4 linked regions of the Struthio camelus genome follow. The protein of the gene in region 3 purifies or fractionates together with the protein of the main gene of each other region. This does not show direct contact. Links are inferred from orthologs where the notes say so. Each region holds a gene or a part of one and is shown on either strand. Other genes may lie near its edges.

What was found.
Region 1: the proteins of PPIE (region 3) and ZNF830 purify together in Homo sapiens (affinity purification with mass spectrometry; 3 studies listed by BioGRID and IntAct, counting the BioPlex papers as one, with this or other methods). This does not show direct contact. The link is inferred for Struthio camelus from reciprocal best matches to the Homo sapiens genes PPIE and ZNF830.
Region 2: the proteins of PPIE (region 3) and AQR purify together in Homo sapiens (affinity purification with mass spectrometry; 5 studies listed by BioGRID and IntAct, counting the BioPlex papers as one, with this or other methods). This does not show direct contact. The link is inferred for Struthio camelus from reciprocal best matches to the Homo sapiens genes PPIE and AQR.
Region 4: the proteins of PPIE (region 3) and DHX8 purify together in Homo sapiens (affinity purification with mass spectrometry; 3 studies listed by BioGRID and IntAct, counting the BioPlex papers as one, with this or other methods). This does not show direct contact. The link is inferred for Struthio camelus from reciprocal best matches to the Homo sapiens genes PPIE and DHX8.

What each region holds. Positions count from the first base shown.
Region 1 is NC_090943.1:70,979,337-70,986,637, reverse strand, and holds the start of ZNF830 (zinc finger protein 830), read left to right. Parts: upstream 1-4,288; 5' UTR 4,289-4,366; coding exon 4,367-4,488; intron 4,489-4,659; coding exon 4,660-4,759; intron 4,760-5,083; coding exon 5,084-5,204; intron 5,205-5,950; coding exon 5,951-5,984; intron 5,985-7,301. Other genes in the region: BAG1 (BAG family molecular chaperone regulator 1), read left to right, coding at 895-984.
Region 2 is NC_090946.1:50,546,499-50,554,316, forward strand, and holds the start of AQR (RNA helicase aquarius), read left to right. Parts: upstream 1-4,812; 5' UTR 4,813-5,009; coding exon 5,010-5,093; intron 5,094-6,327; coding exon 6,328-6,384; intron 6,385-7,555; coding exon 7,556-7,596; intron 7,597-7,818.
Region 3 is NC_090964.1:8,126,639-8,134,094, reverse strand, and holds the start of PPIE (peptidyl-prolyl cis-trans isomerase E), read right to left. Parts: upstream 3,020-7,456; 5' UTR 2,957-3,019; coding exon 2,926-2,956; intron 2,844-2,925; coding exon 2,745-2,843; intron 1,781-2,744; coding exon 1,737-1,780; intron 1,283-1,736; coding exon 1,256-1,282; exon of another isoform or gene 953-1,255; coding exon of another isoform or gene 914-952; intron 676-913; coding exon 594-675; intron 160-593; coding exon 59-159; intron 1-58. Other genes in the region: PABPC4 (polyadenylate-binding protein 4), read right to left, coding at 5,124-5,210, 5,300-5,430, 5,555-5,648, 6,314-6,441, 6,993-7,112, 7,285-7,372. UniProt on the Homo sapiens protein: Involved in pre-mRNA splicing as component of the spliceosome. Combines RNA-binding and PPIase activities.
Region 4 is NC_090966.1:8,060,227-8,067,519, reverse strand, and holds the start of DHX8 (ATP-dependent RNA helicase DHX8), read right to left. Parts: upstream 3,004-7,293; 5' UTR 2,971-3,003; coding exon 2,859-2,970; intron 2,532-2,858; coding exon 2,446-2,531; intron 2,236-2,445; exon of another isoform or gene 2,151-2,235; coding exon of another isoform or gene 2,145-2,150; intron 1,821-2,144; coding exon 1,748-1,820; intron 1,329-1,747; coding exon 1,243-1,328; intron 670-1,242; exon of another isoform or gene 609-669; coding exon 499-608; intron 391-498; coding exon 79-390; intron 1-78.

The sequences.
Region 1 (7,301 bases), on a different chromosome or scaffold from region 3:
ATGCCGCCAACTGACTCGTACTGGAAGCTGGGCAACACCTTGCTAGAGGTGTTCTTTGGAAAATTTAGTGTCTATTGCAATGTACCAACTTTCTATAGACAACGAGCCTTTAAAGTAAAAGCTGTACAGAACAGCAGCTGTGCTGGATTCTTTAGTTGCTTTGCTGTTGTGATGTTTAGATTTTCCTAGGCCTTGCTTCCTTAGAGACCTTAATCTGGAGTTTTGTTACTAAATGCTGGAATTTCTACCCCACCCCCAAAAAAGAAAACTTCCATAAATGAGTGGTAATCCTACTCATATTTCTGTTTTGATTTGTATTATACTAGCTTCAGTCACAGGTTAGACTCCTGAAAATTGTTTGTGAATGTACCTTGCATTCATATACACAGTTGCAAGGTTTTGTCTTTTATTGTAAAATGTATTAAATAATTATCAAAAATGTTTCCTAAATATTTTTAAATAGGTACCCATTTTAGAGGAAACGCTACCAAGAAGTACTTTGCAGTGGAAATGCTTTTCTGTTATAGCTTTAGGTACAAAGTGCACTACAGAAGTATATGTTACAGGAAGGAGTTTTAAAGTTATGTCTAAAACTAAAGCCTCACCTTGTCTGAACCTTTTTGATCCTTACTGATGTTTGTGGACTTTGGATTAACTCGAAATGGTTCAGTGGCAGGACTCGTGAGGATGGACAGCCATGCTGTTGCCTTGTCGTGTTTCTGTTAGATTCTAAGTAAATAAAACTGGTAATAAACCGTTATCAAAACTGATCTGGGAGGTGGCTGTTGAATTGCCTTCTTTACGTGATGGAAACTTTAGCTTCTGTTCTTAAGAAGCAGTCTACCATTGCTGTAATTGCATCCCTGATAACATTTGTTTGTTTCCTGTTTTCAGGCTTTTCTTGCCCAGTGTGATACAATTGAAGGAAATATTGGTCAAGAAATGGATAAGCTGCAATCAAAGAATTTGGCGCTGGCAGAATGAGGCATTGCTCTACTTAACTAGGAAACATAATTGCTCTATGAGCAAGAAGAAAAGTTTGCTCTTTGTTTTGGAGCACATATTCAGCTTTTTTTGTTTTGTTTTGTTTTTTTAAGCCCAGTCTGTTAGACTGGTACTAGTCAATCATTACTTGCTGGTTGTCATGTTTGCCACTTGGTTAGAGACCTATTATTCTGAAAAGAAAACAATCCTTCCTAAAGAACTGCAGAAATAACATTTGTGGTGAATTGTCATGTAGCTTATGGACGAGTGTTTAGTTAACTCAGTAACAAAGTTTGCAGTGATGGGCAATTTTGTCTGCTCTGTCTTGGAATTTATTTACAGCTCAAATCAAAGAAGATCTATAACCATAAAAATGCCATAAGTTGCAATTGTAGAACTTCAATTTGATTGAAAAAAAAGCAAACGGGGGAAGTATAACATTCTAGTAGACCGTTCAGAGCAATAAAAAGACCGCACATTTGTATCCACTTATTGTTTGTATGCATTGATAAATATAAGAAAGCTTGACTATAAGGGAGTCATACCTATTTTAGCCTTAAGTTGTCATAATAAATGGAATGTACTGTAACATGCATGGTACTTAATTTTGAGTAGTGCTTTACGTTCTTGTTGAGCTCCTTGATACAGGTGTATTTTTTTTAACATGGATTTCTGATATACCATGTGTTTTATAGCTCGTTTTTATTTCTAGTGTTCCGTCTTGAGTTATGGTGGGAAATGAAATGGGATCGTTTATGCTGCTCATATACCAAGGATTCAGTTCAAACAAGGTATGAGTAGGGAGCTATTTTAAAAGATATTTTTGGCTTCTCTTCTGGTTTCACTGAATTTTTAATGGAAAATTGCAGTGATTGTTTCTGACTGATGTTTGCAGACAGATACGTGCCCTGGTAGGTGAAAAATGAACTTTAGCAGGAGGTAGTAACTGTTCCAGCAGGTGCAGGCAGCTGTGCTTGCAATTGTGAGTTACAGCTCACAGCTGGCTTACCTGCAATGGGGGCTGCTTTTTCAGTGACGCTTCTGATAGGTAGGTCTGTTGTCATACCCAGTGACCGATGACGTACTGACCAGTAGGAGCCTGTTCCTGTGACAAACCTGAGCTCCTTCATCTCACGTCAGTCAGAGACTGAGGATGTTTAGAAATGGCCCCTTAGATAATGAGTCTTTATCTGCGTATGACTGTTTTGTGATTAGCTCTCTTTACAAGATTAAAAAAAGAGAATGTGTCTAGAAGGATAATTTCTAGTAAGTTACAACCATTAAAGGATTATCCTGCAATATTTCTCTGGTGTTTATAATTGGAGGAGCATTTCTTTAGTGAAGAACACCATTGAACAAATGAAGTGGTAGCCCTGCATTAAAAATGAATCACCTTTATTGTAAAAATGCTTTTTGACCATATCAAGATTCAAGCTGCCATATTTTTGTTGTCACCAGTTTCTTTAAGATTGCATTTTTTTTTTTTCCATATGAAACTCTGTTTGTAGGAGCTATAAAAGATTTTAAGGTCTAAAATCCTGGTGAACTTGACTATGAGTTAGAAAATGGTATATGTGCTAGGACTGTGGGTATTTTTTCCTAGTGTTAGTGCTCTGGTCCTGCTGTATTTGCCCAGCACTTCAAGTTTACAGGGAGGAACAGTTGTAGCCATTTTCGTGAAGCCCTAGCTTGGTGACTCTGCTGACTCTTAAACCAACAGCAACACGGTTGCTTAATTCAGAGGATGCCAAATTGCCCGCTTCCCTTTGATGAAAAGGATCCTCACCTTCTCAAATGTAAATGTGCTCTAACGCACTGAACTTTCACAGATGTGTGTATAGTAGGCAAAGTATTCTCCTCTGCCCATGAGGAGTTGTGGTCATGCCTGGGATTGTGTTCACTTCTGCTGCTCCTTGGTTGTTTTCTCTTTTCGGCAAGAGTATTAAGGCTATAGGCAGACATTTTCTTTCGGATCTCTCTGTCCGTGGAAAAGGTCATTGACTCCCGCTACTTACCATCACTCTTTTACCAGAGACTGCTGCTCCTTGAGACCTGATTGGGTGGATACATCCCGAACCCGTCTCAGAGCGGGACAGATTACTTTCAAGATTTTAAGTAGTAAATCTTTGCTAATCTGGTAATCTGAGGCAAAAGGCGTGATGATGAACCTGTCCCACCAGCACATCTGGATTCAGAAAAGGATGTCCAGAGCTGAAGAACTTCTGTGATAGCTCCCGTTATCAGGGTTCAGCTTCTAGGGCAAAAGTGTAAGCGTATTAAGGCAAATTTGTGCAATGAAAAATCATTGTTTTGAAAACTAGGTATAAAAATGAACTGATTCATTTTGGAAAATTGATGGTTATGTTTAAAGTTTTCTAAGAACTTTTAGAGTAGATTGACTTTTATGTTTATTTTTGAAAGATAAGCCTTACACCTCATGTTTTCCACAATAGCCTCTATTTTTTTAGTAAAAACAACAAAAAATTTTGAAAAGTGCAGCAGACTACAATCGTGGAAGGAACAGGGGAAAACTGGAATCACTGAGAATTTGTAAAGGTAAACATGGATCTCAAAGTCAAATTTAAGGTATATTCTCCCTAATGCTGTAGTCCTGTTGTACCTACCTTGCTACCAAATCAGTTCTCCTCCTCTACCACCTGCCCTGGCCGTGTGAAAAGGCAAAGAAGTTGTTCACTTTTGCAGTAGTTTCACTTATCCCATTGCCTTCCACTTGCTGTATTGCTTCCTTTACACGTCTCGGATTGGCGTTCATGCAAAATGTCTCACCGTGCAGTTTGTCTTCTCTGAAGATTGGAGTAGAGTCACAGTTGCCCGGTTCCCTGTAGGCCGTAGTGTGAGACAGACCAGAGTGATGCTCGCGGAGCTGCAGTCTTGAGCTGTGGGACTTCTTGCCCTTTACTTTTAAGAATGGCTTAAAACATGCCCTTTTTGGAGATGTTCTCAGTGACCGAGTTCTCCGGGCAGTCATACTGTTGTAAAGCTGGGCTAATGCTTTTTGGATGTGTCGTAGTAGCTCACAGTTTGGAGTGCTAGACTTGACACCATAGAACTTGGCCCCCCCCCCCTTTTTTTTTTAATTATTTTATTGTACCATCACAAATGAAAAGGAAAAAAAAAATGAAATATGGAAACTTCTCTGCTGTCCTTAGTCATGTCCGCTCCCGCGCTGGGGGCGGGGCTCCCGGGGCGGGTCACGCCCCTTGTGGGGGCGGGGCTCCCGGGGCGGGTCACGCCCCTTGTGGGGGCGGGGCTCCCGGGGCGGGTCACGCCCCCCGGCACTGCGCGCGCGCAGGGGCCTGGCTCGCGGCGCTGGCTCCACCCGCCGCCGCCGCCGCCGGCGGGGGAGGTGCTGCCGCACAAGATGGCGGCGGCCGGGGTGGGCGCGGGGCGGAAGCAAGTGCGGCAGGAGGAGCTGCGGCGCCTCATGCGGGAGAAGCAGCGGCAGAACGCGGGCAAGAAGCGGATCGACTCGCCCTTCGCCAAATATCCTCCGCCCCGCTCCCCGGGCGCGGCCCTTCCCTCCTCGCGGCGCGGGGTGGCGAGGCGGGGCCCGCCGCGCCCCTCGGCGTGTCGTCGGGGCGGCCGGGGCTGGGGGGGGGGGAGAGGGGGGGAGGCGGCACGGCAGCGCCTTGGCTTCCCTTAACGGCGGCGCACGTACAACAGCCTGGGGCACCTGAGCTGCGCGCTCTGCAACGCGCCCGTCAAGAGCGAGCTGCTGTGGCCGACGCACGCCCTGGGGAAGCAGCACCGCGAGGTGAGCGGGGCCCGGGGGGTCGTTTCACAACGTTTCCCGTGCCGGGGCCTTGGGGTGAGTCGAGCCTGCTGCTCTGTACGCCTGTGCTTTTCTGCTGTAAACATGAGCGACGGCAGTCGCTGCTTGGGCGGGCGGCGCTGCCCCTGCCCCTGCCCCGCCGGAGGCTGCCGCCAGCACCGGGCTGGGTTTTGGGCGTTGGTGATGCCCGCTGTAGGGGGCGGGCTGGCTGTGGAGCGGCCTTAGGGCCCCCCTAAGGACGTGCTGCTCTCCGTGCGCCGCGCTTCCAGCTGCTCACGGCCTCCTGACTTTGGTGCTTCTCTGCAGAGAGTCGCAGAGTTAAAAGGCACGAAACAGGCAGCGAGCGGTTCAGCTGCTGGCACGTCGTCTCACCCCGTCAAGAGAAAAAACGCTGATGCGGAAAATACGGAATTAAAGAGAGCAAAAGGTAAAGGCATGACAATACCTACAAAGCGCGTGCCAGAATCTGACGTTTTGCGTCTGGAATGTGTTTGTTCACCAGGCCAGGAGAAAGCTGTTATTTTGGTAGGTTAGCTAGTTTTCTTCTGGGTTGGTGGGCCACATTAGGTCGTGGGTGGTGGGGTTGGTCTGGACAGCGTGAGAAACGATGTAAAGTAAGCAGTGGAAACGCTTGCCTCGGAGTAGAAGTATTCCTTTCCAGTGAAATCAAGCCATTAGGTTACCTCAAACCGTTCACAAAACTTTGTGCTGAAGGAAAGAAGGTAGGTGAATCTCTTCTCTTGCTGCTACTGAATACGTAACATATGAAAATGCCGCGTTTGTGAAAACAAACGTTTTGGAGTTCTCTGCCTTTGAAGAATTATCTCTGTGCTTCCAAAATACTTTGTTGTCCCTGGTTCGTACACAACGAGTATTTTTACGTTTCTTTGTTATATTAGGTGTTGTAAGACAAACTACTGTTCTAGGCTTGACTAAACGCTAGGCTTAACCAAACACTGCCTCTTTGAGAGTAACTTTTTGTGTGCGCAGGGCTGGAACTCTGTTAGCACCGGTAGTACCTGACGGTCCTAGGGGACACTTAAGTCGCGGCAGTTGAGAAATTATGACAATAGACGCTATCTTTGTGAAGTCACTGCTGTGGTAAGACTTTACGTGAGGGATGTTTCTTTTAAAAGAATGGACTGTAAGAAATGACTCCTGACTGTTATCTAGGTGCAGATGAGAAGCCACACACATCCACATCTGGGTAAGTAGATCTTACGCATTTCTCGTAACTTGTATGAACTTTGTTACGCTCTCACCCTGTTCTTCTTCATCTCTGTTTCCCAGCCAAGGGTAAAGATACAGATACAAATCGGCAGATCTCTGCTTCTGTTCGGTGTCAAATGTGGGTGTACGTGCATGAATTTGGCAGCATCTTCCTCCGTGCAAAGACTAGGGTATTGACTCTAGAGGCTGTGACAAAGCAAGAATTCGTTTGCTGCCATAACAAGACATTTAATGCTGAGTAGGGTGGTATTATAAAGTCTACTAGAACAAAAATAGCTAGATTGTGGCATGCACTCTGATCTGTAATGCTAGCATCCTGCAAAAAACATTATAGCCTGATAGTATGAAGAGTTATATACTACACGTGCAAGTGATATTTAGTCACAAGAACTTTAATAAATGCCACCAATAGATTTTTACTAAGACGTTTTTGTTTCTTAAAATGCATGTAAATGCATACCTTCCAGATGAAGTCTCTCTCTTACAGATGTGAGCATACTTAACTTCAAGGAATTGAGTCATTTGTCCTCACATATGCGTCTTGGTACAACTTGAGATTTCTGAGGGTATTTTGATATTCACGTGAGGTTGGGAGATAGCGCGTGAGACTTGTAGGTCTCCTGTACACTTTTACATAGGGTGAATTATTATTATCTTGCATTGATATTAAGCACTATTATCTTGACCCTAACAGACATTGTTATCTTGTGGGAATTCTTTTTGCGTGTATAAAATTACACAGTTGTGAAATTTGTTCAGCATAAAATTGTTCAGTATGATTAATTTTAAAATCACGCAGGAAAAAACATTCAGCTTGGAGGCCTGCAAATATCCTAAAAAATCTGGATTTTCTCATTGCTGAGGCTGTGCAGCAGTTCCTGGTTTCAAAATGAGTTTGTTTCTTTGCAGTTCTGAGCTGCAAGAAGTACCTATAATAAGTAGTTGTATTATACATGAAGGTTATCAAGGTTTAGATGATGTTTGTATTACCGCTATCCTATGAATTTTCATTCACAGCAGGTACACAGATACAAATAACTTTGAGTGGGAACGTAGTATTACCTAAATAATTTGTGTTCCTGAAACCTCACTTTGTTATAGAATGCTTTTATTAAATTATTTTACGGTGAATATACTAGCATAAAAATTGAAAGTTGAATGTGTTTTCAGTACTAACCTGAACGTTCTTGAGGAACTTTAAAAGAAAGCAACAATTATGTACCGCCTTTGAACAATGGTTACACTAGCTGCTCTGCAGTTTAGTATATTGCACAATATTGAGAAGATCTTAGTG
Region 2 (7,818 bases), on a different chromosome or scaffold from region 3:
CAGGAACGTCAGCCCCTGCCTGAGCTCCATGAGTCTTTAGGGAGCTTTCTGCCTCATTTGGGATTTCGCTTTTAGTCCAGAGAGATTACATCCTGAAAAAGGTGATGGAGCACTTCTAGAGTACATTCAGAGAGGCTAGAAGAAGAGTCCCTCTGGCTCTCTAACCATGGCAACTAATGTCTGTATTGTATGGTTTCTTTTTATTCCTACTTTAGTGCATCTGACTTCTTTAACAGGACTGCTTATGCTTGGATTTAAATTAAAAAATATGTTTCCAGTTAGCAAAACTCCACAGTCTTCAATCAGGTGACTGTTTGCTTGACAACCCTATTAGTATGACTTGAAAATGGAGTGAAAATAGGCTGTAATTTTAAAATACTATGTGGTATTTATAAATAGTGTCATAGGTGTATATTATTGAGGCTTTTTTCTACTAAAAGTGAATGAAGAATATTTACCCCTTACACAATATGTGCAAAATCCAAAACACTGCAAATTGAGAATGCTCTTGCTTTATGAGTTAATAATTAAATAACAGCATCAACATATAAAAGGTCAGCAACACAGCCAAGTCATAAGCTCAGAAATTTCTGACTCACAGAAACGTCATCAAACTATTGAATTAAGTTTTAGAGGGCCAAAACATCAGAATTTGTCTTTAATTCATGTCACACTGAAAAACCTAAAGCAATCACAATTAATATTAGAATGATTTATGGATTTTTTTTTTTTGAGTTCTTATTGCTAGAAAATCATCACATTGCCAGCTTATGACCTTGGCTTGTACAGTTTACAAAGTAAAAGTGGAAGAGAATATTTTTGCTAGGTACAATTACACAGAAAGGCAAGCATCCAAAACCAGAAGGGCTAGTTAAGCAAGAAAGCAGCATTGAATATAAATTGACCAATAATATATGCAGCCTGGAAATGAATAATAGTCTTGAAAACTGCATCTCCTCAAATATGTGACTTTTTAAATAATATATGTCTTCATGAATGAATTAACAGATTTTTGAAGAGAAAGAATATTTAATTTTCTTGACGCATTAAGTCAACGAGTACAGAAAGATCGGGAAGTTCACAGCAGGCTTTGGGGAAGACGGAGTGCAGCGTTTCCTTTTTCCCCTGGACTACAAAGCATTTTAAGGTGGAGAGTGACAGACATGCCTCCACTCTGGGAGAAACTGAGTGTAGCAGTCTTAACAGACAGTTGTGAGCTGGGTGAGTCACAGGTGGGGACATAAGCACCACACTGGTACCAGTATGTCTGATCTCAGTATGTCTGATCTCACCACAACTCCTCTTCAAAGGTTCAGCTGCTCTTGATACTTGGAAGTACATCTTGCCAAAGCATTACTTAATACTTTTGATATTCTTTTATAGTCCTACCATCATTGTACTCTGTAACTAAACAATAGTCCCTTACAGACTAATATTTAACGCATCCTTTGTAGGGAGGAGATCTTTACCACTTTACTTGGCATTGCCATCAAGGGATGTAATCATATTGCCTAACAGTAGGCATCGAACTTTAGCTTTCTTTATCAGCAGAGGCTCCTCCAGGAAATGAGTCAGAGCATTTACATGAGCACTGATGTGCCTTCTGGAAGGGTCTCTGACTCTACATTGACTGCAGAGAAATCTAGGACAACTAACCTCCTCATTGGGACACCCAAAGGCCAAAAGTTAGGTAAATACAGATTCCTCCTTGAGCTTTCATAGTTTAGATACCATACGGAAATCTAAGGTTTCTGAGAGATGTTTAACACTCACAGACTGATGATCTATCATAAACAGAAGCCAACTGTTGGACAGCTGGAATAATTTAACTTAGCCATGCAAGACCATCTGGGAAAATTTACCAGCCCAAGTCCAAAATCTATTTGCCTTGCCTACCTTTTGGCATGGTAATTGTTCCAAAAAAAAAAAAAAAAAAGAGAGAGAGGTAGGCTGCATTGGTGACACTTAATGCATGTTACTGGAAAAGAAATCTAAGGTCATAAAATACTATCAACTGAGATCCCAAGTAACCATTACCTAATCTCTCCTAAACATATCACACCATGTCTTAAGCATAAGTTAAACTTACGGCTCCCACCTGAAAGCCATTTTTAGAAGCCTTCCTATTTTCAGCCTGTTTGTACGTAGCTTTTGTTCCTTTGCCCTCTTTTTCAGCACCGATTTGTTCCTTCAGTAGTTCCTTCTCTTCCTGCCATTTACCCCTCGAATCTACTTACGGGCAGTAGAAGTACTCTCCTTTTGCCAAACTGATAAACTGTTATATTACTATTCATTACGGTACATGCAAACATAAGCTATCTATGTTCATTTCTGAGGTGGTTAGGTATAGGGGAAGTTAATTCTGGAAGCTACTACTTAACAGTGTTCTCTCCAACTTATTGGCTAAGGTACACCAACATGCTAACAAGGCTCATCCAGCGAGCTTAGAGCATAGGTAAATTGTACTTATGTTTTTTACATTTGTCCAGGAATGCAAGTGCTAGCAATCATACAAAGCAATGGAGAAAGCTCAAATGTAACCGCCTGTTTAGGTGTCGGTACAGAATTAGATAAACCTAAGTCAATCATGAAGCTGCAGCCTCTAGGTGGATTACTTTAAATCAAAACATTTGACTTTTGCTGATTTTCATCACAGTTTAAATGTCAGAGTACATTGGTTTAAGTGTATTTTAATTGCTTTGTATTTGCATATCTTTAATTATTAGACTGGATAGTGCTCAATCCTTGTTGTTTACATAAATTATTATCACTAGCTCTTGAAAACTTTTTGATTTTACCTGTTTTCATATAGCGAACTTAGATTTTCTGGATCTTGCAAAGCACAGGAATGGAATAGGTGTATTTATTTGAATGCAGCCATTGTCTGATCCTAGTCGAGATACTGTCATTACTTTTTCCGTTCCCACTGTACATTCTAATTCAACTTCAAAAAGAATATTTAGTTTAACCTCTTCTTGAAGAAATGAAATGGAGATCACCTTGATATCAAAACAAAGGAGGTCATATTCAAACAGACTTCAATGATATCTGCCTGGAAGTTTAAAGTACTCAAGTGGCAGGTGCTGGATAATGAGCACAGAAACAAAGCACTGTAACTTCTCTAGGGATTATGTTAATTTCCTCCTTAATTAATCTGTTTACTAAATAGAATAAGTTAATTGCAAACCATTCTAAATCATAACCAAATTGCTGGTTTCTGTAAGCATGTACTTTTCCCTTCTCGCCCTTTTGCCTCTCCTCTGCTCCACAGATTTTCCATGTTATAGATATATATCTATATATGAAACAACATGCACTATGCTTAGATCTTGGTGGCATTTGTTTGATGTTAACAACAGATCTTTTCCATATTAGCTCTTGTATAGTATTTGGACTGAAACCTTTGCTCTAAATAATAACAGCAGTAGTCACTAGGTATACTTATATAGCATTTGAAGAGCAGGCATAACGGCAACCATAAGCCTGACGTGTTCTTAAGTGCCTCTGCCTTTACAGTCTTTTCAGACGGCAGTCTTTTGAACAGCTTTTTCAGGTTTTCCTAGCAATGTACTAATATACTGAGTCACACGTGCTTCTAGGCACAGCCTCTGCCTTCATCTAGGCCTAGTCATACGGCAACACTATTGGGATGACGTAGCACGGCAGTCTGGCCTGGATACAGGCCTTAAGAGTGACTCCGAAACGTAGTAAAGACTTATCTATCCACCTAGCAAGACAGGGGTAAAACTGCCACTGCCTCTCTGCAGAAAACTAAGAAAAAAAAAACAAAAGAGGAGCTTTCTTACCACCTCATACAGATTACCTGTATCATTAGCTGCAAGGTGGTAGAGAATGAACACCTCCAACTCAGACAGATAATGGATAGGAAAGAATTAGAAACAATAAGCTGCCAGCGTGTGGCTGATAACGTTGATAACCAAATTGCTCCCACCTCAAAGTTTCAGATGAGTTCCTAAGTTACTTCTGGGTCTCTCTGCAGTCTGTCTGAAATGTTATACTTCACTGTCATCACTGTATCCATTGTCTAGAGTCTTTCCCTGTAATTTTGGGACAAGCTTTGGTTTTATCAAACTAGCTTTTGGCTATTTCTCTTGCATAATCATGCATAATTTATGTTACAGAAACAACACTAGCAAACAGGGAAATAAATTAAAAAAAAAATTTAAAAACCCAAATATAATCGTCCGAGAGCCTTGACCTACATTTTCAGTATTCCCTTCTAGGCTTTTCTCCATGCATTTTGGTGCTGCCAGAAGTATTTTAGGGACTGTAAATACGGACACGTTAGTCTGGACTACTGCTACGTGCAGCCAAGTATGGCAGCACCCAGGCTAATTAATCTCGCTTGGGCAGTGCGCCTAAAACCGACGCACAGGCATTTCCCACACAGGCGCGCCCGAGTGCGCGCTGAGAACCACCACGTTTACATCCCGTATCTGGCAGAGCGGAGGCTGGCGACGGCACGGGGCCTTCCGCCCGCTGTCCGCGGCGGGCCGCTACCGCCGCCCCGCTCCCGGCGGCCGCCACGTCGCGAAGCTCCAGGCGGGCCACAGCGGCTCTCCGGGGCTCACGGCCTCGTCACAGCTCTCCCTTGACCCCACTCCGTGGCCGCTCGCCCACTGCAGCTTCCTCCCCCCTCCCCGCGGCCCTCCCGCTGCCCGGCGGACCCGGCGGCGCCACTGCCCTGCCCCGCCCCGCCCCGCCCCGCCTGGCGGCCGCCCTAGCCCGCTCCGTGCCCCGGAAGCGCTCCGCGCCCTCCCCCCGCCCCCCGCGCTCGGCTCCCGTCACCCGGCCGCTGTTTCCGCTCCGCTTTCTATTTCCGCACTTCCGGCGCTCTGGGCGCGCGAGCCCGTGTTCGGGACACGCCATTCCCGGGCGGCGAGGGGGGGGAAGCAAGGGGACAGCGGCGACGCCACCTGTGCGGGGAACGAGGGGGGCGAGAGCGCGGCGTGGCCGGCGCGTGCGAGGCGGCGCGGGCTCGTAGCGCGATGGCGGCGCCGGCGGCCTCGGCGCCGCCGAAGAAGATCGTGGCGCCCACCGTGTCGCAGATCAACGCGGAGTTTGTGACACAGGTGGGGCCGGCGGAGGAGCGGGCCGGGCCGGGCCGGGGGAGCTCTGGGTGCCTGGTGGGCCGCGGGGCGCCAGCGGCTTGGCTGGTCACCGGGCCGGTAACAGCCGGGCCGCGCGCGAGGCGGGCGGCGGCGGCTGCTCGCCTCGGGCCGGAGCCGGAGCTGCGCGGGGCCGTGCGGCCTGGCGGAGCTCGCCCGCCCGCCCGCCCTGCGTCGTGCCGGGCCGGGCCGCGCTGTGCCTCCGTGAGGCCGCTCCGGCTCCCTTCTGCGTTTGCAGAACTTGTTTCATCGTTGGCCCCAGTGGCTACGATCTCGCTGTATAAACGGGCTTTGCAGCCTGCGGTGTTAGGGAAAAAGGGTTTAGCTTTGTCGCAAGCGAGCAGGTATTTTTTTAGACCTGGATTACATAGGGCAGAGTGTGTGCCCGACGAGTTTTCAGGCTAGAGAGACTTGAAGAAAAAAAGTAGGAATGTTACAAAATAAATGAGGATTGTCATAGTACACAAAAAACTGTATGAAATTTTTTGTAGTTCAGTGTTCTAAGTGGTTTTATACAGCTTTTTTTTTTTTATACTGAAAATACTGCTTTGCTTTCTTTTCAACCACATAAATAAGTTTCAATAAAGACAGCCCTTGGCAGCATAGCTCAATAGTTTTGTTGCAACAAAGGGAATAGCTACAGTGAATAGTTTGGAAATATTGGAGCTTTACATATAGCCCTTGGTTTTTTTAGTGGGGTGTACTCATTTAGTTAAAATTTTCTAATCTTTGCATTGTATAAAAAAGCCTGGCAGCAGCTGCTTGTCCAGTTCAGTCTGATTCAGAAGTGTACAAGCTTAGAGTTCTCTGAAGTCTTAATTTTTCATGTGGGATTACTTGTTTCAATAGAGGGATTTGCAGCCTCCTGAAAGATCCCTGTAGATTTTTCAGGGATTTGCTAGGGGAAACTTAAGAAAAACAGGTTTGCTTTTGTAGTACAGCACTGTGTGCAACTGAAACTTTTATGAGGCATCACACCTTTATTGTAAAGATTTTAGGCACAGAATCTTAAATAGTTGAAAGTTATTGTTGTTGGAGAACATAACGTTTGTATGTAGTTACTGTAAGTTGAAATTAAGCAAGAAACTAGGGAAATACACAGCCAAATCCAAAGTGTTTAGAGTGTTATATAGAACAACATATGACAACTGAAAGTGTGTTTGTTTAATGTATTTCAAACTTGTTTTTTTCCTTACAGTTAGCAAACAAATACTGGGCTCCGCATGTGAAGAAAAAGTTGCCTTTTGATTCAAAGGTAAATATTTTTAGTGGTATTGTACCGCGCTGTAAAAGAATAAGAAGCAATACTTTTCTGCCATGCTAAACTGATGCTTATTTTTGTAAGGGTGTAGGAGACTACTCGGAAAGTCAACAGTTGCTTAGCACGCTATTAGCTGTTGCTTAAGTTGTTTGTGGTTTATACACATAGGTACCGTTCTGAAGATGCGCTATAGCAGTGCAGTTCTTTTGCATGCTATTTATTCTGTTCGTTTTAGCTTGAGAGCTTGTGAGGGAGAAAAAGATGTTTGAGAAGGGGGCACTGTCAGAAATCAAAGAAGGACCAAAGATGCAGGTAACACTAAGCTGTAAGGGTTCCTTTTAAAAACTTCTTCAGAGGGTTTTGATCAGAGAACTGAAGTGGTGTTTTGGTGGTTACCTGCATTGTGAATGTTTAAAATTTGGCATAATGTTTTTGGTTCTCCGTTGGTTTTCTGTAGTGCAGGCTTCTCAAATGTTAGTTTTCATTCCCTTGTGGATATTTGGCTTAACCGTCCTCTCTTGCCTTAGTTTACCCACTTTCTTTACAGTGTTTGTGGTAATATTTGCATCTGTGATTGTTAGAGCTAGAATGTAGATGATCAGCTAAATTACAACTCTGACAGCAGATGTGATATCAGAATGTGCCTACCGCAACAGATAGTGCAGATGAATTGTCTACAGTTCTTTCAGTCCTATTGGAAAATATAGAACAGTGTGGATTTGGTCAGTTATAAGAAACAGTGGCAATTGATGCCTGGGGTGATACAAACTTGAATCTTCAAGACTATTCTTTAAATTCAGCAATAGACCAAAGATGAGCCATAAAAAGGTATACATAGCTGTTTGACTTGTGTATCAAATCTCAGTGAGGTGTAGGTTGTTCCTTCTGAATAACTTGAATGAAGGTCCTATCAGTTCTCTACCATCGTGTGCTTTTTATTCCCCTTAGCTGATTAATTTTTTTAGTGCGGATGTCTGTCTGTGGAGCTTTTGGTCTCCTCAGAACTGAGACATATCTGTTATGACATTTTTGACCAAATAGCATTACACAGAGAGTAACTAATTCAGAGTAACTTTGAGTGCATAGAATACTTGAATGTATTTTTAATCATGTCATTAAATATGTAAACTTCTTAAAATTCCTTTTGAAATATTCTTTCCCATAGGTTATTGAAGATGTGTATGCAAAAGAAATTGTCAGGTCAAAGTAAGTACGTCACTAACAGACAAGTATTCCAACGTTTTCTCTACTGAAATGGTCTTAAATGTTTATTGAACTACTTTAAAATACACTAAGATGAAAATAACTCAAGCACATTTGAGCCATTTAATGGATGATATCTCATTTCAGAGACCAAATGGGGTAAAAAGAAAACTCACGAGCTCACAGTCCTTAAATATGAGGGTTGGATGTAATTGGTTCCTTAAG
Region 3 (7,456 bases):
CTGTTCCCTCCTCCGCTCACAGGAGTCCCTGTGGCTTTGGCTCATTTATTTTTCCTACCTCCTGTGTTTCTGGTTTGGGGGCCTCTGCTGCCCCCTCCTCTGTGTTCTCCTCCAGAGTCTTCCCCGAAAACTTCTTCAGCCAGTCGTCATCCGACCAGACTGCGACAGCAAAAGGAAGGGTCAGAGCATGGGAACCGAACCCAACGGCCACGTGTGAGCATGCATGCAGCTGCGTGGGGTCAGAGCACAGCACGGCCCAGGCAGCGGGATCGCACGCGGGAGCGCTCGGCTGGCAGCAGCCTACCCCAAAAGACAAAGCATGCAGCCACCCACGCCACCCAGGTCAACAGGGAAATAACAGTCAGAGAACATGAAGGCAGCTGGAAGCACAGCAAAGTGTGTTTTCATCAAGGAATCGGGTATTTTTGGTTATTAGGATGCTGGTGAGACCCCCAAATGGGAGGCAGAGCAATACAAGCTGAGGTCTCTGCCCCAGGATCTGGGAAAGCAGAAAGAAAGGCCGATTTTGGAGCAAGCGCGAGGTGCTGACAGTTGTTCACTGGGCTGTGCTCCTCTCGCAAGCACCGACTCACCAGGCCTTGATGATCCTTCTTTAATCCGCATTGGTTTGGCCAGGTTCACACGGATTGTCCTGCCGAAGAGCTCAGATTCATTCTGTAGAGGAAAAAACAAAACAAAGCCCACCAAAAGGTAAAATATCGCTATTCCCTCCAAATCCCTGCAGAGGTCAAAGAAACACAGAACTTCCTTTCTCCCCCTCCTCCTGATTTTGGACTGAGGGCCCCAGACCTTGCAACCAGACCACAGGCAACGGCGAACATGCAAACAAAGCGGGCAAGGACCTGGTCCACAGCAGCGCTCAAGCCCCGGCGCTCGCCCCCCGGGGCCACACCTGAAGCAGCGCCCGCCCTGTTTTTGCAGACAGCTTCATCGACGTTATACACAGCCAGAGCTGCCGCTAAACTTTGCTGGGGTTATCGCCAGCTCGTGTCCGTTCCCAACACTGGCTGCCCAGGACAGCTCGGTTCTGGGGCTGTTATTGTGCTCTCCTTCCCCTCCTGCGAATGGTGCGGTATCAGGCATGCGGAGGAAGGAGATGAGCTGACAGGTATTTCTGAAACAATCTGCCTTGCTCCTACTGGGAAGAGGGCGAAGCCCCACGCTGTGAGGAGAGGAGCAGCGATTTCACTTTCCAAGACAGCATTCAGCATGCAGATGGGAACAGAGCCCATACCATGTTGTCAATAGCTGCTGCAGCATCCTGGGGAAAGAGGGAAAGATCATTATTGCCATTTTTTCTCTTCTTTTCATGTAAGATCCTTGATTGTTTACACTAATATTTGGGAAAGGAGACGAGAGATCTTGCCTAATGAAGCCCACGATAGGTCATGACATCCCATGCTCCAACCAAGCTGAGAAACCCACCCACTGCTGCTGAAGACAAAATGAGCTCTAGGGAAAGCAAGCGGGTGTTTTGGACCAGGAGTGGCCATGCTTCAGCCCAAAAGACAATGGGAAAACTGGGAACTCGGAAAGACAAAACAGCAACTCGACTGCAGCTACTGGAGAATGGCCCATAGCTAGGACAGGCAACCTGTGCCTGCTCAAATCAGCTGCAAAACTCCTGCTGTCTTCAACCAGAGGAGGATCTGGTCTAAAATGCCACGGAAGGAAGAAGAGATTCCAGACTGCTCAAGTATTTGCCCCTTCCTCACCTCTGCCAGCTCAAATTCAATGAAGGCAAATCCTCGGTGCTTTTCTGCGGAGAGAAAAACGAGCAGTCAAAGGGAGCAGGGATAAGGAGGTGTGCCCTGGGATGAAGTAGCGAGCCCCAGAGTGACATGAGGAGACCCAGAACTAGGTAGCCAGCCCTAGGCCCGGGCCATGAGCCCTGGGACCAGGTGGCCAGTCCCAGGATGAAGCGGTGAGCCCCAGGACAAGGTGAGGAGCCCTAGAACGAGGCCGTGAGCCCCAGAATGAGTAGTCAGTCCCAGAATGAAGTGGTGAGCCCTGAGATGAAGTGAGGAGTCCCAGGATGAGGCAGACAGGCCTGGGATCAAGCAGTGAGTCCCAGGACCAGCCAGACAGTCCAGGATGAAATCAGGAGCCCCAGGACAAAATTAGGAGCCCTGGGATGAAGCCACAAGCCCCAGGGCCAGGTCATGAGCCCTGGGATGAAGGACTGAGCCCCAGGACCAAGTAGTCAGTCCCTGGACAAAGTGGTGAGCCCCAGGATGAGGTGGGGAGCCCTAGGACAATGCTGCAAGCCTCAGGATGAGGCCACCAGCCCCAGGACCAGGCTGTGAGTCCCAGGACAAAGGAGTGAGCCACAGGACCAAGCAGCCCATCCCAAGATGGCAGGGGAAGTGGTGAGCCCTGGGATAAGATGAGGAGCCCCAGGAGGAGGCAGGCAGGCCTGGGACCAGGCTATGAGCTGCAGGACCAAAGACAACCAACCCTGGGATGAAACTAGGCGCCATGGGATTAGGGCCGTGAGCCCAGGATGAGGTGAGGAGTCCTGGGATGAAGAACTGAGCCCAAGGATCGGGTGGCCAGTCCCAGGCTGAAGTGCTGAGCCCTGGGACGAAACCACAAGCCCCAGGGCCAGCCCACGAGCCCCAGGACGAGGCGAGGAGCCCTTGGAAGAAGCTGCTGCCCCCAGGCTGAAGCAGGGAGCCCCGGCGAGCCCCCTCCCCGCCGCCCCCCCGCCCTGGACCACGCACCGGTCTCGTAGTCCAGCGGGATCTGGATGTCGGTGATGTCTCCGAAGGGGATGAAGGCGGCGTGAAGCACCTTCTCGTCCACCTCCTCGGCCAGCCCGCCTGCGGGGCGCACAGCGCGTTACCGCCCGCCGCCCCGACCCCGACCGCGCAGCGCCCGCCGGCCCCCGGCCCCGCCGCTCACCCACGTACAGCACCCGCTTGGTGGTGGCCATCTTCCCTCCCCGGCAGCCTCCGCCCGGCCCCTGCCCCGGAACCGCACGGCGGCTCCGCCCCGCCCCGCTGCCGCCGCCGCCGTCGGGGCCCGGCCCGGCCCGGCGCGCCCGGGGCTCCCCGCGGGCAGCGCCTCCGACGTGGAAGGTCCGGTGTTGTGTGTCACACTACCTGATTTCCAAGGGGGATACTTGCATGTTTTACTACCCTCTCCTGCTCTTAAATAAAAATAAAAATACCCCCCCCCCCACAGGACAGGCAGGCAAAACAACATTACAATGCACATGAGAGGTCTTTCTGCTTTTCGAGGACCTTCTCAGGCACAAGTTTCTAGTTTTGCAAGTCCAAATTAAGCCTCAGTTCCACTAGGGAGCAGCCATTCTCCTTTTACAGGGTAACCAAATGCTTTTCATCCCAAAGGATCACCCAAAATGGTTTACAAAGCATTTACTAACCTCACCACCAGAATACAGCCACCTTGTAGAGTATAAAAAAGCCAGATTGTTCTGTAATGACAGAACCACTAAGGAAAACATCCAGCTGAAAGAAGGAAGAATATATGCGAAGAGCAGGAAAGAATTTCTTCTCCCACAGGCAACAAAAAGCGATCCAAACCTCTTTCATGCTCCACTTGAAAAATGCCTCCCACTGCCTTCTATTAGGTCACCACTTGGTTATATTCACCATTTGGACACTAACCAAACCCAACATAATCATCCTGTGGCAGAACTTTAGCACAGTTGCTCCAAAACTGTGATTGTCCAAAGTTAACAAGCAGAATAACTCAATTCAATCACGATTTAACATATCAATCATGTGACAACTGCCTGCCAGTTCAATTTGATAAGTTAATGTGATGCAGCTTACTACATTCTAGAAAAAAGACAACAAATGTAGTGAAAGTTTTTATTCCTTTATTGATAAACGCTTTCCAGACTTTCCAAACTGGATTGTTCAGTTAAAACCAAAACCACAAAAAACTTTCAATCAGAAATCCTCGATGTCCTGCCTAGAAAAGACAAAGGGTAACTGTCCTGACCACAAAGGAAAAGCTTGCAAACTTAATTCTGGTTTTGGAAATCTAGAGCTTCATGGAGCTGGCTTTTTAAATAAGATTGTAAAGATTAATTTACAAAATGCAATATAACTAACTATGTGATATGATGCATGGCACTGAGATTTGCAGGACAGTGAAGAATCTTCAAACATCTTGAGCTGATGTCTAGGAAGGGACTATTTGGCTTCTTTGCATCCTGTAAAAAAAGAGGAAGACAAGTTATCTGCATATGGCATAGTTCACACCAGGCTAGTGAACTATCCAGCGTTATAAACCATAAGGACTCCAGTATAACTTGCAACGAACAGAGAAGTTGTCTTCCTCTTGCGGATAATATCCATTGCTGATGATTTGGTAAGAAATTCACATCTTTCGTGGAGAAGCCAATCACTGGATCCACTCAGAAATTCACTAATGAAATATAAGAACCCTCATCATTCTTTACCATTTGGAGTTGTGACATCTTCCTGTGACATCTGACCAGAACAACTTCACAAAAAGTGCAAGACGTTCATGGTTAAGTCCAGACAAACCCACATGGAGGAATTCATCAACAAAAGCAAAAAGAACCTTCAAAGAATCAAAAATCTTATCCAGAAGTCAAATGAGAGCCAGGACCAAACACAGACAGTGCTTGCTTGGATAAACCTACACAATGAAATGACATTCCTGACACCAGGACTTTAATATATACTGTAGGCAGATGATTGTCAGGATAAGGAACTGGCATTAGCAGTCTATTTAGCCTTGAAGTCACTGGAACATCTTGTGCATCTTTTACCTTTTTTATTTCCTAGATTAGCAGCTTCAGAAGCCTCATCTCAATATATTATCCTTCCTTGACATGCTCCTAGTAGTTGACACTTCAGGAACCTATGCAACATCTTTCTGATACTTAAATACAGTGAGATCTTTGAAGCATACCTCTACAGCTTCTACCGTAACGATTCTCTATTGGAGAAAATGCATCAGTCTTTCAGTCAGTGCTGCACCTGGACCTACACACAGGTTTCCAGACAGGCTGCACACACTGACAATAACGCTTTATGTACTCTGATTTGGGAAACTTTTATCGGAAGCTGAGGACCGGGACACTCACCAGTCTTCCTGGTTTAAGAGGTAGCAGCAACCACGCCCACCTTCTGGGCAGCTTCTTTCTTGGCTTGATGAGCCTGCAACACTGCAACAGCCTCCTCCACCTTGGGTGGACAAGTTATCAAAGTGAGACCTGTTCTCTTCACTAAGGTGCCCCAATCCACGCCCCCTCTGAAGGAACAGGCCAATTTACCTTTGACCGAAGGGATTCTGGAGACTCTAGCATGTGCAGCAGCTCCGAGTTGTCAATCTCTAGCAGCATTCCTGTGATCTTCCCCGCAAGGCTGGGGTGCATAGCTTGAATCAGAGGGAACAAACGCTCGCCTAAAAACAAAACCAACCAAACAAAACAGTTCAGACAGGCTGGCTTCCATCAAACAGTTCTCTGAAACCTGATGGGATTTCCAAAATAAGATGTGATCTGTAAAAAAACAGGAGATTCACTTACCCAGCATCTGTTTCTGCTCCTGGGGAGGTGCAGCAGCCAGCATGGAGGCCGTTAGTGGTTCCTGTCCCTGCACATGTACTGCAGGCTGAGGTGCCTATAGAATGGCAAAGATGAGGATTCAAAAACAGATGCCAGACTGATTGTTTCATATTTAAAGACAAGGCAGTTCTTCCTTCCTCTAAAACATGGCACTCTGTCAGGCCTGCAGTAGAGTCAGTTTCAGAAAAGGACAGATAAGGTGCCCTGTGTTCACAAACACGCTCCAAGTCCTATTCTCAAAAACTAGAATGTCACACAGGGGCACGTAGCTTGCAAATATCCTAGTTATAAAAACTGGACCTTGCATTATAAGGCAAATGTCATGGCAGAGAAAGAGAAACACCCATGTTTGCTTTTTGCACAATGCAGCGGTGTATAGAGAGGCAAGCTGTGCTTTCAGTGATACCCTAGCGAGAATTCAGCAAAGAGATGAGAGAGAGTGAAAGCTAGCAAAAGTGTGAGAGCAAAGAGCCAAGAATAGCAGCCTTACAGCAAATCTGGATAAAAAGGGCTTAGAAGAGTAAGACAGACAAATCAACCAAGTTGCCCCTGGCGGAGGTATGTGACGACAACTGCCAGTTTTCTAAATTCCAGTTTCTGATCCCTGTCGGGACTATAAAAAAGTAGCTTGAAGTTTCTGTAAAAACACTTCAGCTGCGTGTAAAACCTGTTGGACTGTCGTTAACTAGACAGACTTGACAGAGCAGACCACTGCATTACCTGCAAAGACTGTACAGCCGGATGTGGGCTGCGAACACTCGAGGCGTATTTATAAGGAGGAACTGCTCGGGGAGCAGGGGCAGCTACTGGCGGACGAGGAGCTAAATTCTGCGCTGCAGCGGCAACACCTGAAAAGGAAGAGTAGGACAGAATTACACAGCCACAGTAACACGCAGCAAGCAAATTGGGATGTCTGATATTAACTGCTGGACTTTAATTATGCACTGCACAGCCTAATACTGGTTTAGAAACTGGCCTCCAAAATCCAATTGGCTTCTTTAGAAAGGAGCTACCCTCCCTAACACTAAGCCATAGATTCTATATCTGCTTTTAAGACATTTTCTACTTATTCCCTGAAATAAAGTGAATTTGGATGCTTTACTCTGAAACCACCACCCATAATCTACAGAGCCATTTTTGAGCAGTAAGTGTTGCAGAGTTGTAGAGATGAGTTCCAGGTGAAAGGAAAGCAACCCATCTGGATTTCCACTGCTTTGCTGTAGCACCAATTGTCCCCAGACCTGCACTGCACAGCAAGGAACAGGAAAGATTCAGGTGCCGTCTTTGCCCCTTGCTCCAGGCAGCCTTCCGTTATCCACGTCTGATGTAAAAGTCAAGTCTTAATACCATCCCCCTTCCCCATGAATGAGGGGAAGAGCCTGGGAGGCAGACACCTTACCAACTCGCTGGGCAGCGGCAGGGAGGCCACGAGAGGCTGGAGCATTGCCGGCAGGGGCCAGATGGCGCAGTGCTGGCCGTGGTCCAGACTGGCGCATGGCATTTGGCATTCCCTGGAAGCCTAATGGAAGAAAGGAGGGGAAATCCTCAAAACAGAACTGACTGGCAATCACGACAGTCAGCTACAAGCAGCAGGTTGGGGCTCTGCATGGCAGGGAAACTATGCATTGCTCTTGTTGGAAAATACAGCCAAAAGGGTCATACAACCAAAGCACTGTGTCTAGCATGCTCACCTTGAGGTCTCCCCCCTTGCTGCCAGCGTGGGTTAGGTCTCATCTGCGTCATTTGATTGGGTGCATAGTAAGTGGGTCTGCTCTGAGCCTGAAGAGAGATGAGACAAGCTCAGAAGGAACATGAAGTGAATAACAAACATCGTTTGCAACATGCTTTGGCAGTTGTTCCCAG
Region 4 (7,293 bases), on a different chromosome or scaffold from region 3:
AGCATCCTACACTCTTTAAGATATTAGCAGAGAGCAGAACACAGATGGAATAAGATGAAGGTGAAGATCAGAAGGTACCTTAGTCCTTCCAGCTGCACAAAGCATCCAAACTGCATTATACTTGTCACTTTGCCATTGTAAATGTCGCCAATGGAAGGCTCTTCAGGTGGTGGACGGTCCACATGTTTGTCTCTCCATCTATCATTGCTCTTCTCGACATATTTCTCTCGATCCTTACGGTCCCTGCTGGGACTCTGACTCCTGCTCCTTGAGCGGTATCTGGATTTCCCCCTGTTCTTGTCCCAAGTCCTAGAACGAGACCTAGAACGAGACCTGCGTCTTCGCTTCCTGTCCCTGCTGCGGCTTCGGCTCTTCCTCTTTTTTTTCGCCCTATCAAACAAACATTAGACGTCTACACCGAAATTCTGCATAAGAACACAGTGGGTAGACAATATGAACTGCCTGTACCCATCCCCTAAAGACATACTAAAAACCTACCGGTGGTCACTGTTCCTTTGCTTGCCTTGCCTGTCGGCACTAGGCATTAGAGCTTCAAGTTCTTTAAGTGCATCAGCTGCCACTTTCACATCATCTTCATCCAACATATTCTGCAAGGACAGAGAACCATTCTGTAGGAAGGCTGATAAGAGTCTGTCACAAAGAATTAACCTACACAAAGAATAATCATGTGCATTTCTGTTTAGAATTAATATAGGATAAAGAAAGATCAGACAGAATACATGATATAGAAAGAAGAAATGATATTATTAAAAAAAAAAAAAAAATGCTTCCTCCCATTTTGCCATAATATTGTGCCAATTCCGCTTTTACAAAAAGAAGAGTTTTATCTCAACATCCAAATTATTACCGAAATACAAAATACAAATTCCTGGTATCATTTTAATGTCCAAGATTTTCATCTAGTTCATGATTAGTTGCTCTAAACATTATGTCAGAAAGGCCAGGCTACAAATTTCACATCACAGGAGCCTCATCTTTCAAATATCCTGCAAAATAGCATCAATGTGGCAATTCCTGTAACAGCAGTTCCTGATAACTACATCCAATAATATCAGCCTTCTGCTTCTTCTGGGTTTCATTTCTCATGGTCCATTTTTATTCATGCATTAGCAGGAGATACAAATGCTAACATGAATACAACTTGAAACTAGAGAACAACTGCAGAAAATAAGTGTTATGTTTCCATACACTCATGAGAGAAATCTGAAATTATGACCTTACCCTGATGTTGGGGTTGTCTGGCCTGCAAAGGGCTGGAAACAATTCCTTCAACTTTTCTTTCTCTGATTTGGGTTTGACAGCTGCCTCTGATTTTGAGATTAAAACAGACACACACAAAAACCTTAGAAGTGCTATAAGGATTTGCCCTTGACATTTGTGAAGCTGAATATAAAGTTTAATTTTCATCTGAATGCAAAGATTAACACAGCTGTCACAGATTAAATTCAAAAATTACAATGTTATCTTTCTATAAATGATATTATGATTAATAGCAAACCTGTGAAAAACATAAATGCTCTAAATACTGTACTCAACATGTTTTCAGTGCCACAACAGCTTTGCAAGCCTACCACTAATAACAGAGAGAAATCCATTACAGCAATAGGATATGTATTGTCCTACAGGACTAGAACAATAACTACTTTGATCTGACCAAATATGGCCAAAAGCTACAAAAGGCAAGTTTTTTTTTCTACTGAACTGATGAGAGATAAATTATCTATACCTTTGCTTGTAGATGGTTTTGATGGAGGCCGCATTGTCTGTATGAGACGTAGCAAATTACTCACAAGGGAATCCTGCAAAATTCAGGAAAACACTTTATTCTGATAAGCAACTTCAATGCTTTTGTTCATTAATATAGGGCTCAAGAGAGGGTTTGTTAGGAGGACAAAAAAAGCTCAATGCTGAAAATGCAGGCTTTGTTTTTAAAAAAAAAGCTTCACGTACAGCCTAAAACAAATATAATAACTTGGATTTTAAAGTGATTATGATAATTCCATTTAACTGATTTTCCCACTCATCACTTTTCTAATCACCTACTTAATCCAACTACAGTAATTGCTGAGGAACACAGGAAGATGGCATCTAAATATCATAGAAAGACTTCTGCTAACACTTGCCTTCATGACAAGGTGTTTCTTCTGTATTTCACATGCTCAGCAATCAGACAATAAACACTTCAAGTAAGGCCTCAGAAGGATGCTTCACAAAGACTATGAGTGTTCAGAAAGAGGAGGAGGAGGAGGGGTAGGAGAAGGCTTGATCAGATAGGTATACTCAAAAGCTATATATTTGCATAGTTTTCCAGTTTAAAAAAAAAATCAAAAAAAAAAAAAACCCACACCTCTCTTTTAAAACAAAAAAGGCTCTATAAAATATGCCAGGTCAAAAATGTACAAATAATGTCTAGCTCTCACTTACAGTGAACTCAGCACCATTCTTTAGAAGAACAGCTTTAAATGTGTCAAACGTAGTGTTTTTCTCAGCAAGATTTATCACAAACTCGGCTGTGAAGAAAAAGTATAAAGGAAATCAGAGCAAATAATTCAAAGGCAGCGTAGGCGCACGTTCTGGTAAGAGCTGTTCTGGCGGCAGCCCAGGGCTCTGCTAGACCTATCCACCCACAGCAGCGCTTTCCTTTCCGAGCCCCTTCGTGGGAGCCCAGCTCCAAGCACTTTCTCGCGCTCGCGACAAGCTTTCTGAGGGAAGGTCCCCTTTTTTCCTCAACCCGAGAAGCCGCTCGCAGAACAGGCCCCGGCCGCCGGCCGCGCCGGGACAGGCCCTTCTCCGCGCCCCCGGGGCCGCCCCGCTGCCGGCTGGCACCGGCCGCTCACCCAGGTCCTTGTCGTTGATGCCGAGGTGGTTGTCCAGCTCGGTGCACACCTTGGAGACCAGCGACAAGTACTCGAGCTTGGCGAGCTCCTCCAGGGCCACCGGGTCCGCCATGACTCCCCCGCCCCCTCACGGCGCCACTTCCGCATCCGGGACGCGGCGGAAGCTCTGCGCCGAGCATAGAGAGGTGCGCCGTGCTAGAGCGGCCCTCCTGGGGGAGAGTCTGTAACACCGGCTTGGTGGTTGTGGCGGGCGAGGGAGCCAACGGGGGCGAAGGCGGGAGAAGGCGCCGCGGTGCCTCGCGGGAGGCCGCAGCGGGCGGCGGGGCGCGGGGGCGGCGGGGCCGTCGGCTCAGTCCGGTTGTCTGCTGAGCGTTAACCCTGGAATAGCGCGTGCCTCAACAAGGGGGGGAGGATGGACGTGAGAGTGGAGCAGCAGAGAGGAGGACCAGCCCCCCCCCCTCCGCGTCGGCCCTGAAACAGGTGGCAGCAGAACCGGCTCTGATGTCGCTCGGTTGCGACGGCCTCAGTACAGTGATTAAATTGTCCTGTGGCAGGGACAGACGGGGAGCGCGGGAGGCAGGGTTAGCAACAAAAGTGAGGCAGCTCGTAAAATACTCAGCATCTTGCCAAGCAAACGAAGTAACCCATCCACCACTCCCCACCGTGTGTGGGGGCGCGTCGCAGCCCCCAAGGTGGGCTTTCTTGACGAGACAGACACGTTCTGCCTGGATGAGATCATTATTAGCCAGCTGCTAAGTACCCTCATATGCATATCTATTTCTTGAATTATAAGCATAAATTGAACGAAGCAAAACGCTCTGATGCCAGCAACAGTGTCTTCTCAGCACCGTTGGAGCAATGTCTCAGCAGTGAGTTAAGTCTGGATTCCTGGCTATCACAATATTTTTTTTTACTTATATACTTAGATTCATTGTGTATTAGATTCATTTGGACTCATTTCACCAAATTTTTAACTTTCTGCTCTGCTGGGCTGCTGCAGATGTAATCAGTGGGCTGCCTGTGCTCTGGAGTGAACTTGGTCCTTCTGGCCCGGCTGACACATCAGACCCCTCTGACCCGGATTTCTGGAAGAGTAACCTCCTTCCTGGTATGTACTAATTAAATTACCCCAAAATAAGAGGGTTGTAACATACTAACATGTCATAATATATTCTATATTCAAAACCAAGTTTGTAATTCAGCAGACAAAATTGATTTATGTACTGAAACTTTGAAATCCTGTCAACTAACAGTATCAGCTTCTAAATCTTGCTCCCAGGCTCTCAGTCCCTTGTGAGGATGGAAGTCTGAGCCTTGTCTCCAGGTCTGCAGAACAGTGCACAGACTGCAAGTGAAAAATGCTGCGTGCACAAACATAAATAAGTCTAGCCAAATTGTGTGTACATGCTAGCAACTTAGGCCCATTAACAGTGGAAAATATGTCCAGCCTCTAGAACGCTAGGTGAAACAATAGCATGTTATTCTTTCAAAGGCCAGAATTAGAGTGGAATTTATGTGAGCTGAGTACTACCACCTTAATTAATCTAGCAGTTTATAGACAATAAATCATGTGCTGAGTTTTAAATTACTGTGCTAGACACATTTCACCTCACATATTCACTTAGCGTACCTCCTCAGCACTTGCAGAAGATTATTGGGAAAATCTAAATAGAGAGTGAATTTCCATACTCTAGGAAATGTTCTACATGAGACAACGATAGCAGACTCAAAGCCCTACTGCAAACTGCATTCATCAGCAAATTACAGCAATTAAGTAAGGGACTCCAGATGAATGTGGGTGACAAGCCCACCACGTGGCAGGTATTTATTAGTAATTAAGCTTTGGCAAACAGAAAAGAACCAAAGACTTCATGCTGTCAGCCTATGTGACAAGCTGAAAAGGAAGTGCCTGCTGTTGACTGAGCACAGAGACAATGGGGGCCCAAGAGAGACTGCTAGACAGCAACGGACACGGAGCACTGTGGAGCAGCCAGGCTGAGATCCATCAGTGTTTTCAAAAGCCTGCCACTTAGAACAGAGTGCATGGAGCACTGCAGAGGTGACAGTCCTGGGGCTGTATGAGCTTTGATTGCATCCATCTCTTCAGCTGCCTCTCCAGCTCCTTCCCCATAGTCCCAGCCTTGTGGTTAAGGGGGAAAGGAGCTACTTGAAAGCTCTAATCCCTGGCTTAGTCACTTCCACAATGCTATGCATCTCCTAGCACACAGCACTCTGCAAGCCTCTGTCCATATGAATGGACAGCTGATGGATTTCTACAGTCCTCCACCAGAGAGGGAGGAAAGTTTCCCAGTTCACACATGGGAATAGCAGGGTCACAAGAGTCTTGTTAGGTAATAAGGGTATAAAACAGTGAATTTTAATACAAAAGTTCTCTTAGAAACAGGAGGAGAAATAATAAAATGCTGATTGTTTGTATTGATTTTGAATCGAAACAGCAAAAACGTGTATCCCAGTTTCTAGCAATTTGCCATCAATTAAAAATAGAAGTCAGGCACAAAGGCAGCACTATCAGCTAGTGCATCTCACCAAACCCACACTTCAGATCTCCTTGAACTCCAGTTCCAAAGACAGACCTTTGCAGCAGCTCAACAGAGCTCAGCTTGGCACAGGCAGCTGTGAGAATCCAAGCTATGAGTCAACATAGACAGTGAATTACAGGCAAAGATCAGGCTGCTGAAAAGGAGAAGGTAAAGGAACTCTCTGGATTTGAGCAGCATGGGTCTCAAGGGTGGGGCAGAAAAATTAGTCATGTCTTGTGTGGCAAGTTATTACCATTAGAAAAAAAAAATTACATTTCCTAATAAACAGTTTGAATCTCAAACGTTAACAGTACCTAGCACAGCTCCTCTGCAGTGCTTCTTAGTTGTACATGTTGAGCAAGCACCAATCTGAGATTTTTTTGCTCACTAGCACTGGTTTAGCTGGGCGCTGAACCGTCAGGTGCAAAGCAGAACCTGCTAGTCTAGGGCAAGGGATAGAGGCAATCTCATGCAGTTCCAGAATCAGCATTAAAGGCATAGTAAAGTCTTGTTTTGGAAAGCAGGAAATCCCTGCAGCAGCAACGCAAAACTCATTTGTTTCCCAGTTAAAAACTTCTCCAATAATCCCCAATTCCTCATGCAAACCAAGGGCTTGCACCACTCTGGGTCTGATGAGCGGCTTATGAGAACAGAGTGAAGATGTGATTCTGGGAACTTGCCTTAATCAGACAAGCTGGGACCCTTCCAAACACAAGCATCTCATTGCAAAGCCTATCACAAGAGATTAGCTACAAGCAGCTGCTACTGCCAAGACTCTTTATAATCAGCCAAACCCATCCCAATCTATATGATGCACAGATGGAGCCCGGGCCCCCTCTCCTCTGTCCCCTACAGATTAGCTATTGTATAAGGGGTTTCTGGACTGCAGACAGACAAGCAGACGGCTGGAGATGGATGGGAGAGGGGAAGGGATAGCACTTTTCTCAAATCTGGTTGATTTGAAATGGCTTCAGATCATGACTGAACTGACAAATGTGAGGGTCTCCAGCACATACCCCTAGGTCAATATTGCTTCTGTCATTATGGATTAACATGGAAGTTAACAAAAAGCAACAAAAGACAGAAGCAGACAGGAGTTCAGCATGCTTTGCATTTTAGCTGTGCAATTCACAATTCCCCAAAATCTCACAGCAATTAGGTAGTCAGCATGCAGAGTGAAATGAGAGGTTATTTCCCAAGCAATGTAGGAAAACAAAAAGGAAGCGGCGGAGAGAAGAAAGGCAGAGAACAGTGAGAGGACAGTAGTAGCACATTTACAGAACAACTCAACTGCTACCACATACCACATTTCAGTGTTTTCATGCTTCCTGAGCATCAAGCTCCAGGTTACACATTTCTGCAAGGGATATGGTGGAAGTTCCCCTGTCTGGACTCCAAATTATATCTGTGGATACCTGGATGGAATTTCTACTTCACGCATTGTTACGTACGACTCCAGTTCCCAGCCATGGTCTTCTGAAGGATTTAGTGGAAACCCCCATCCCAAAGTCCCTGCATTATCATTCAGGAGAGAATATTCTGTCTTCGCATAAAGCCGGCACAAGGAGTCCTGGTCCATGACTGGGGTCCTACAATCTATGATTACTGCACTGTTCATCATTTTATCTTCACCAAACACACCACTTATAAGATCGAATTCAGCAGTGATGCTGGACATAGCTCAAAATCCATCTGTTGAGCTGAACCTGCATTTCCTGAGGCTTCTTTCCCTTCTCTACATATTATGTGTATGTAGCAGGAAGACTAGGAAGCACTATCAGACAGCTGACTTAATACAGTCAGACTCCAGTGCTGAGGTATTAAGCATTTTGTATTGAGTTTATTGCTTTTTCAAAGACTTCACTGAGAAGGTCATGGAATTCTCTGGCTCCTGC